Linked DNA regions of Cricetulus griseus. The protein of the gene in region 2 interacts with the protein of the main gene of each other region in a pairwise test. Links are inferred from orthologs where the notes say so. Each region holds a gene or a part of one and is shown on either strand. Other genes may lie near its edges. The genes, in order: Meox1, cyclin-dependent kinases regulatory subunit 1 and Arid5a.

The links.
Region 1: the proteins of cyclin-dependent kinases regulatory subunit 1 (region 2) and Meox1 interact in binary tests that used the Homo sapiens proteins (3 or more experiments, as listed by UniProt). The two-hybrid records come from large-scale screens. The link is inferred for Cricetulus griseus from reciprocal best matches to the Homo sapiens genes CKS1B and MEOX1.
Region 3: the proteins of cyclin-dependent kinases regulatory subunit 1 (region 2) and Arid5a interact in binary tests that used the Homo sapiens proteins (3 or more experiments, as listed by UniProt). The two-hybrid records come from large-scale screens. The link is inferred for Cricetulus griseus from reciprocal best matches to the Homo sapiens genes CKS1B and ARID5A.

The regions. Positions count from the first base shown.
Region 1 is NC_048600.1:116,217,372-116,220,254, forward strand, and holds part of Meox1 (homeobox protein MOX-1), read left to right. Parts: intron 1-2,010; coding exon 2,011-2,183; intron 2,184-2,883. UniProt on the Homo sapiens protein: Mesodermal transcription factor that plays a key role in somitogenesis and is specifically required for sclerotome development. Required for maintenance of the sclerotome polarity and formation of the cranio-cervical joints.
Region 2 is NC_048596.1:133,403,174-133,405,308, forward strand, and holds cyclin-dependent kinases regulatory subunit 1, read left to right. Parts: upstream 1-1,155; 5' UTR 1,156-1,193; coding exon 1,194-1,436; 3' UTR 1,437-1,482; downstream 1,483-2,135.
Region 3 is NW_023276807.1:11,889,732-11,893,820, reverse strand, and holds the start of Arid5a (AT-rich interactive domain-containing protein 5A), read left to right. Parts: upstream 1-1,210; 5' UTR 1,211-1,323; coding exon 1,324-1,327; intron 1,328-4,089. UniProt on the Homo sapiens protein: DNA-binding protein that may regulate transcription and act as a repressor by binding to AT-rich stretches in the promoter region of target genes.

The DNA.
Region 1 (2,883 bases), on a different chromosome or scaffold from region 2:
ATTCTTCCACTGCCGTTCAAGCTTGAGGCCAGCCCGAACATGAAATTCTGTCTTTAAAAAGATTAGCTTTGAAAGTAGGTGCTTTATTTTCTCCACTTTCTTGGGAAAAAGATCAGTTGAGATTGAATCCCCATTAAAACTCCCCTGGCCCATCCACTCCCTGCAACTGCGACAAAGAGGGGCTGGGAAAATCCGTGGCCCCGGGACAGGGGTTCCCCAGCTTCCTGGCCTCAACTGGCTGAGATGTACTTGGGGAGGCCTTCGCATCCGCTGCTTCGTGACCGACACTGCCGGGCTTGCCGCCAGGAGGGTTAGTGGCGCTGGCAGTGGCCAAGGCCAGAGGACTCCTAGGGGACCCGCCCCGGGGCTGCACATCCTTCCAGTCCAGACCACGCTGCGGCTGCTCCAGCATCCATGACGGGTCTGGGCCCACCTTTTCTGGCCAGGAGCCAGTGGCTGGCTCACCCCCTCCCTTAGCCTGTGGGGGGACTCCACCGTGGACCCCATTGGGAGGTGAGCGCCCTCCCCCACCCCACTCCTGTGACTTCCAGCCACCCTCCTGGTTTCTCCCCAGCCCAGACAGCCGGATGAGGAGATGACAGCTAAAAAAAAAAACCTAAAGTACAAACAGGTTGCCTGAGAGGGGAAGCAGCCAGGATCAGAGTTACAAATGGGATCTCAGGGTTCAAGTGGGGTCCCCAGCCATCTCCACAAGTTGGCTTCGAAGCTGAGGGTGTAGTGCTTTCCCTTGCCTGACTCATCGGGCCTGCATCCTTTCCTGCAGGTGCTCAAAGTCTCTGAGGACTAAGGACCTCAGCTAGGTGTGTACCAATGTAATTAGATAGAGCACAGCTCGCATAAAACATATTTCCTGACCCAGGGTCTCCAAGACTAAAAAGAGGTATGGAAGAGAAAGCCCGATGTCTTATGTCCCCCTGCCCAGGCAGGAAGGGTTCCTGTGGCAGTTGACTGTCCAGTCTTGTTAGTTGTTAGTTAATTCTACAGATGTGTTCGTCCCCTGCCTATGGCCTCTGTCACTACAGCTGTCAACGGAGAGGCACAGCCAGCAGCCAGTTCTTGAAATAGGAAGGCCTTTTCATTCTAGATGCAGTCTGTCCATCTGCACCAGACTTCACAGTCTGTGAACTGTGAACAAAACTATCTCATACTGGGACAGTGTATGAATCAAATCGCCTGGGTCCTCCCCCACTTAGCAATTAGGTGAATTCATTCTTGTGTTTGGTCTGTAAAACATGATCAATACTGAAACCACTCAGTTGGATTAGTGTGGAGAGGATGAAGCAAATGCAGGTAGGGACACTGTTTCCTGGCCCTGTCATGGGTCAGGACTGAACCCCTATGTCTAACAGAAGCCCAAGAGTTCCAGAAGGTTCTCCAGACTTGCCCTTCTGGAGCAGACTCCAGTGTGTATGACCAGCTTCCCTGTCCCGTTGACACTGCTGGGGCCCAGGGAATATTCCAGCAATCTGGTCTTAAAGCAGTGGTGTATAACCTTGACCCTGCACCGGAATGATCAGGAGGGCTTGTCAAAACAGGTTGCTGTGGGGTTGGGGTGGGCGATGCTTCAGCTTTTAGCACTAACTGGGTACAGAGACTTCAGTCAAGCCCAGTTTCATGTGCCTTGGAGAAATCTTGTGGGTGTGTTAGGGGGAGGGGGTTCTGAATGCACCTGAGACTGGGACTAAAAATATTTCTTGAGCATCTTAAGAATGACAGAGGCTGGGGCTGGAGAGATGGCTCAGAGGTTAAGAGCACTGACTGCTCTTCCAGAGGTCCTGGGTTCAATTCTCAGCACCCATATGGCAGCTCACAAACTGTCTGTAACTTGAGTTCACACCAATGCACATAAAATAAAGTTAAATAAATCATAAAAAAAAAGAATGACAGATGCCACAGAATGCTGCCCAGCTATTTAACGGACTAATGGAAGGGAACTGAGTCCCTGGCGGCTCATTCATGTCTCCTCCATTTGGGGCCTTCTCTTCACAGACAACCAGGAGAATGGAGGAAAACCGGAAGGTAGCAGCAAGGCCCGGAAGGAAAGGACCGCCTTCACCAAGGAGCAGTTGCGGGAGCTAGAGGCTGAGTTCGCCCACCATAACTACCTGACCAGGCTGCGTAGATACGAGATCGCAGTCAACCTGGACCTTTCAGAGCGGCAGGTGGGGTCCCTGGCTTGTCAGAGCTTCTCTGCTGTCCATTCATCTCCCGTTACATGGCCCCTGCCTGAACACCGTTCCTTTCCTCTACCCAGCCAGTGGTTCTCAACCACTACTGTGCCTGACAATCAACCATCTCAGGGAGAATTATCAGAGTTCTACTCATGGAGGTGACTGTAATTGGTCTGGGATGGAACTTAGGCAGCCCAGGTTTTCAAAGGCCTCCCAGGTAACTCTCATGTGACCAAGGATTAGAACAGCTGAGATCTGATTTCCCCCAAACTTGAACCAGCATTTGCCTCCGATTCACCTAGGCAACTGTTCAAATGGAGATTCTGAAAACCAAGTGTTGTGGCACCTACCTGTAAACCCCAGCACTTGGGAGGTAGAGACAGGAGGATTGTGAGCTCAAGGCTACCCTGGGCACAGGGCACTGAGTCCAGCCTAAGGAACTATCTTCAAGGAAATCAAAAGATGTGCTGGGACCGGACGTTGGTGGCGCACACCTTTAATCCCAGCACTCGGGAGGCAGAGGCAGGCAGATCTCTGTGAGTTCGAGGCTAGCCTGGTCTCCAGAGATAGTGCCAGGATAGGCTTCAAAGCCACACAAAGAAACCCTGTCTCGAAAAACCAAAAAAAAAAAAAAAAAAAAAGATGGGGCTGGGGATGTAGCTCACGGGTAGAGTGTTTGCCTAGCATGCAG
Region 2 (2,135 bases):
CGTTAGATCTCACAGAAACCACAGACAAATGGCTGAGGTGCCTCTTTAACATATCAAAGCTGATTCTGGTGACCAGTCTCTCTCAGTCCCTACTCACAAATAACCTGTCACAGAGTCATCTTGAGTGGCATATGCTGCCCCCTAGCCTCAACCTCTCTTCAGCCCATGGTCTGGGTTTCTCCTCCCCCAGCCTCTGATCCCCCTATAATCTCAACCTTTTTGAGCATGCAGTCTCTTGGTCTCTTGGTTCCCCTCTTGGCCTCCTCCTTTCTCCACTCTTCTCTTCCTCTCACTCCTACCCCTGCACCCCTTCTCTCATGGCACAGTTTATATGGACCCTTCCAGATGCCTCTGGCTGTTGTCTCCCTCATATCTACAATAAATCTTGTCCTCCACCATATCTGGAGCAGTCATGTCCTCATTTCTTCATTCAGTATATAGTCATGCTTTGCTTGGTGATGGGAAGATTTCAGAAAAAAAAATATATTTTAGGGGATTTTGTAGTTCTGCAAACATTCTGTAGCATATTTGCCCAGAGCTGGCTGGAGGTAACCCATTACTAGAGCAATAAGACAACAAAAGGAGATCAAGGGGATACAAATTGGAAAGGAAGAAGGCAAATTTTCACTATTTGCAGATGATATAATAGTTTACATAAGTGACCCAAAAAATTCTACCAGGGAACTCCTACCGCTGATAAACACCTTCAGCAAAGTGGCAGGATACAAGATTAACAACAACAACAAAAAAAAGGTAGCCCTACTATATATAGATGAATATGGCTGAGAAAGAAATCAGAGAAACATCACCCTTCACCATAGCCACAAACAACATAAAATATCTTGGGGGCTAACTCTAACCAAACAAGTGAAAGACCTGTATAATAAGAATTTTGAGTCTTTAAAGAAAGAAATTAAAGAAGATACCAGAAAATGGAAAGACCTCCCATGCTCTTGGATAAGTAAGATCAACACAGTAAGAATGGCAATCTTGCCAAAAGCAATCTACAGATTCAACATAATCCCCATCAAAATCCCAGCACAGTTCTTCACAGACCTTGAAAGAAAAATACTCAACTTTATATGGAAAAACAAAAAACCCAGGATAGCCAAACAACCTGTACAATAAAGGAACTTCTGGGAGTCATCAGGAGGCCGGCGGTGCGGGGCTGAGGGCCCTCGGGCTGAGCAGTCATGTCGCACAAACAGATTTACTATTTGGACAAATACGATGACGAGGAGTTCGAGTACCGGCATGTCATGTTGCCCAAAGACATAGCCAAGCTGGTCCCTAAAACGCATTTGATGTCTGAATCTGAATGGAGAAATCTTGGCGTTCAGCAGAGTCAAGGATGGGTCCATTATATGATGATCCATGAACCAGAACTTCACATCTTACTCTTCCGGCAGCCACTACCCAAGAAGCCAAAGAAATGAAGCTGTTGAACCACCTTTCAAACTCAAGCTTTACACAGCTGTCCTTCCTTCCTACACCTTCTGATAGCATGATTATGTTGCTTTCTTATTTCTCACTTTGACATTTAAAGGATGTTTGTTCAAAACATTGTTTGATTGTGTTGGTACCTGCTTTGCTTCTTGAGCTGAGCCACCAATGCCACAACCTGTCAGATGAGTGTGACCTCAAAGACCTGGTGTGCTCTTTATCCAGTAGGCATATCCATACTTGCCATCTCTGGGAAGCATGTGAAAATCAGATCATGGCTGTTACAGGGATAGTGTGAATTTCCTGTTGTGGTTTTTACTATTGGGTATTGTATTTATGGTGACTTACGGATTTATGTTTCAATATATTGGAAACTTTCCATTTTATCTGACAAATCTCTTCCATGTTACAAGCCTTGATTAAAGGAAGTTTTTATAATATAAAAAAATAAAAAAATAAAGGAACTTCTGGAGGTATCACCATCCCTGACTTAAAGCTCTATTATAGAGCTATAGTTCTGAAAACAGCTTGGTATTGGCACAAAAATGGACAGGTAGACCAATGAAATTGAATTGAAAACCCTGATATTAACCCACACACCTAAAAACACCTGATTTTTGACCAAAAAAAACCACTAAAATTATACAATGGAAAAAAGAAAGCATCTTAAACAAATGGTGCTAGCATAATTG
Region 3 (4,089 bases), on a different chromosome or scaffold from region 2:
GTGGCTGGTTCAATCAATCCTTACCAAATGTATACAAGTGGAACTAGAAGCTTGTGAAGTTTCCGGGTGGTATCTTTTGGCAGATAGCATCTCTGCCGATTCAGGTCTCTTGGGGTGGAGTATGGCTTGTAATCTTAGATGTGGGAGGTACTGTTGCAATGGTTATTCTGGTGATTATTCTGACCAGTTAATAAATATTGACAACAGTGTGTCTGTTACCCGATCTTTGAAGGCTGGCTGTTACAATTGTCCCACCAAGCCCAGTGATGCCTGCTCCAGGCTGAGCTTGCAGATCTGCCATTCCAGAGCTGATGGATAAGGGCCTGAGGATCAGAGTCACCAAAAGCAGCCAGGTCCACTTGCTCAGTGTGAAGGGGAGCACTGAAATGTTGGGAGGATGCCTGTGGAGCCCTCCTCATCTGTGTCCCTATTCCTGGGTTGAGCTCTAGCCCCACCATTGATGAGCTATATGAGGTAATAAATCTCCCAGGCCTGTTTTGCTCTATAAAATGCAGACAATGATGGTGTGAAATGCAGAGAGCTATATGAATATAATAATTAATGAACAGAATTTGATTCTGGGGATACCAACTACATACTAGGAACAGAGTTCAAGTCCAAGCTTTTCGGCTGCTGAGGCTTTCTGCTTTTAAATCCCAAGTCTTAGCTTCATCTTCTATGACCCACACAGGTCCAACTGACTGCTCTGCCTCCTCTTGTCCCCACTCACCACAAGCCTCACCCTTCTCTCCCTCACTTCCTCTTTGCACTGTTCAGCTTGTGGCTGTCATTCAGTCTACATGGCATATGTGGACATGGGCACTGCGGGCAGGCCTAGGGCATTAGGCCTGAGCCACGAACTTTCTAGACTGGACCCTGGTAGGCTAAAGGTACTTACCTCTCTGTGTGAATGAAAGCTGAATAGTATGGAATTGGCCAGGACCACTTGAGGTCAAAGTCAGAAGCACTTTGTTTAACCCCGCTGGAGAGAGCGGGCAGTTTTCTAAGACTCTAGTTTTGCCTCTAGGGAAACAGACCCAGGGCGGCCATGATTCTTGAGTGTGCATCATGAACCCCTCGCAGACAAGTGAGCGCACACTACAACTTCCAGACTTCCTCGGGCTCAAGGGGCGGAGCCCTCCCCGCCCCAGAAGATAGGATCCACCAATAGGAGCTCAGAGCGCAGTGGGGCGGGACCAGGGGCGGGACCGCGGGGTGGCGGCAGTCGAGCCGCAGCGCGAGTCAGTCGCGCCGAGAGCGCTGGGGCCGGACGGCTCCGCTCGTCGAGGGTCTCCGGTCAGCGACGCGCGATCTCGCTGGGCCATGGGTAAGCGGCTGGCGGGCGGCGCCGGGGTCGGAGGGCTGGGGACCCGGAGCGATCGCGACCCGCGGGTCAACCCGGGTGTCTGTGTGCTCTCTCCTCGTGGAAAGTCGGGGCGGCCAGGGGCTTCCCAGGCGTTTATCTCGAAACTCTCCTCTCCGGCTCTGGACTGAAATTCACTGAGCCGCCCACACTTCCTGCTGCGGTTTCAATCTCAAGCTGCTCTGGGCCCATTTGTTGTGACAGCTGTCAGCAACAGCTTCTCGGCCGCGGGCCCCTCCCTGCCCCGTGCCAGCCCAGCGCTTCTCAGAACCGGAGGCGCCCGGGCCGCGCGCCGCGCTTCCCACTGCGGCCGCGATTCCTGAAAGTGACTGCGCGGGTTTTGAAGAACTTGCTCAATGCACTTTGAAGAATCAATGGTTCCTCTTTCTGCCGAGGGACGTGCTGATGGTTTGACGGTCTCAGGCTTCAGGTCCTTCTCTTCTCTCTTCCCTTCCCCTTTCTTTTTGTTTCTCTCTTTCTCTTTCCAGCCCCTGGCAGGAAAGATGCTCCTTTTTACTTGCCCGGTCTTCTGACTTACCCTCTCTTCCCTCGGGTCTCTCCAGAGAGACCGGGTGGTGGCCTTGGACTGGGGGTGATTAGTGGAGAAAGAACAGAAGGGCAGGCTGCCAGAGTACAACGAACAAGTTTGGCTTTGATCTCAAGCTCGAACTAGGGGCACAACCACGCCACCACATCTGCGACCCTCCACACCGCCCAGGCATCATATGCCCTGGCTGGGGTCACACCCCATGCCTTGGCCCACAGGCGCAGTGGGGTTGCCAATCCTGGGCCTGGAAGGCCTCAAATTCATCCCAAGTCGTGCTGCTCCAAGCCTGCATCTCCTTGTTTGCAGAGTCTTCCGTTTCAGAGGACGGGTCACAGCAGCCAAAGGAGGGTAACAGGTGCTCCTTGCCCCGCCCCGTGGACACTGTTGGGAGTTGATACGCATCTAAGGGTCTCAGTGCCTAACCAGCATGCCAGAGCAGGGGAGGGTGGGAGATGCTAGCTTGAGAGTCTGGTCTCCAAGCAGTTAGAGTCCAGACTGATTGCTTAGCCTAGAACTTGAAGCGACAGAGGTGGAATGGGCCTCAGAATCAACCCCCACCTCTCTTTTATTACATAGAATCGGAGAGGCAGACTCAGGCTGATAGCGAGTGAGGGCCAGGCTTCCAAGCCTCCTTGCCCTTCACTCCTTCCTGGTGCCCTTCTGTTGCTCTGGGTGGGAAGCTGGTCTATAAATGGTCTACATTCCCTCTTGGACCGGGGTAGCAGCCACCGTGGTGGGACGAGGAGAATGGGAGGAGGATGGAAAAGTGGTTAGGTAGGGAAGTACCCTGTGTAAGGGTTCTACCTCTACTGTTGAGTCACCCCTCTGAGCTCTGTTTTTTCTCCATAGGTGGGGTGGGAAAACCGGAAATGATCCATATATAGGGCTGTTTTCACCAAACACATGGACAGAGGGGCGGGGCCATGGGGACTCAGTCCTTCCAGGAGTAGGATCTCTTAGACTATTTCAGAGCTGGGTAGCACTGGGATTCTGGACTCTCATACCTGGTGCCCATATATCCCTCTCTGCCTTACTTACCTTTCAGAACTCCCATCTTGTCTCTAGTCACTAACAGACCTTGCTCTCCCTGCCTTGGCAGAGGTGCCAAGGCTAGGCTTTGGCTGGTTCAGGATCCGCATACTCCTGTCCAGCTGTCCTCAAGGCTGGCCCTTGACAGGACTACCCCGCCCCCACCGCCTCCCCAAACTGCCCACTGGAGCAAGCCCAAGGAGAAGAATGCCAGGCAGCAGGCTTCTGGGCCACAGAGTGGACTGGCCGCTTCAAAGGCTGTCTTTGTTTCCTCTCCAGCTTGAGCTAAGAGAAACTTAAGCCAACAACCTCAGGCAAGGGGGCGGGGCTGTGTCTGCTGGTTGTTATTGAGGTTGCCTGCCGCTGCCATTATTGTTGTAATTGACGTCGTGTTCCCAGTCAGTGAGTTTTCATGAAAGGAAGTGTCACTTCCTTCCCATCACACTGAGGGTGACTGGGGTAGGCAAATGAAAGAGAGAGAAGGAAAGTGGTGCCCACGCCTTGCGAGCCTGTCAGCTCATGGGAGGTGTGTGGCTTTGAACACTCCGGGAGCACCAGAGTTCCCAGATCAAGGAGACTCATCCCGCAGACTTAGACCAGTCTTTCAGGACCCTAGGGAGAATCGGATACCATGGGGACAGGCAGGTGTCAGTATGGGTGTGTGCACACTTTCACTTGTGATTTGTTGGGAAAGCCTCATTTCTTGCTTTCTTCAAGCTTAGAATACTGGCCATTGAGTCTAGCACACCCGTCTTACAGAGATGAGGGAACAGACCTACAGAAGCAGAGATGGAGGTGATAAGAGACACACCCTGCATGGCATGGTGGAGCATGCCTATAGTCCCAACACTGGGAAGTCTGATCCAGAGAACCATAAATTCAAGGCCAATCTGGGCTACATAGAGAGACCCAAGCAAACAAATAGACAAGAGGCATCCATGTGGTACTAAAGCCCCCTCCTCCTCCATCCTGCAAGGTTTCATCTGATCTCAGCTCACTGGCTGGCAGGGCAGGGGGCAGGCATACAGGGGCCTCTAGATCACCTATCCCACAGCCTCACTGAATCCTACAGGGTATCCCTCACTACTTTCATCTTCCCCCTTTACACAAAGCCATTGTCTACCCAGAGAGCAGGTCCCCCCTTCTTCAG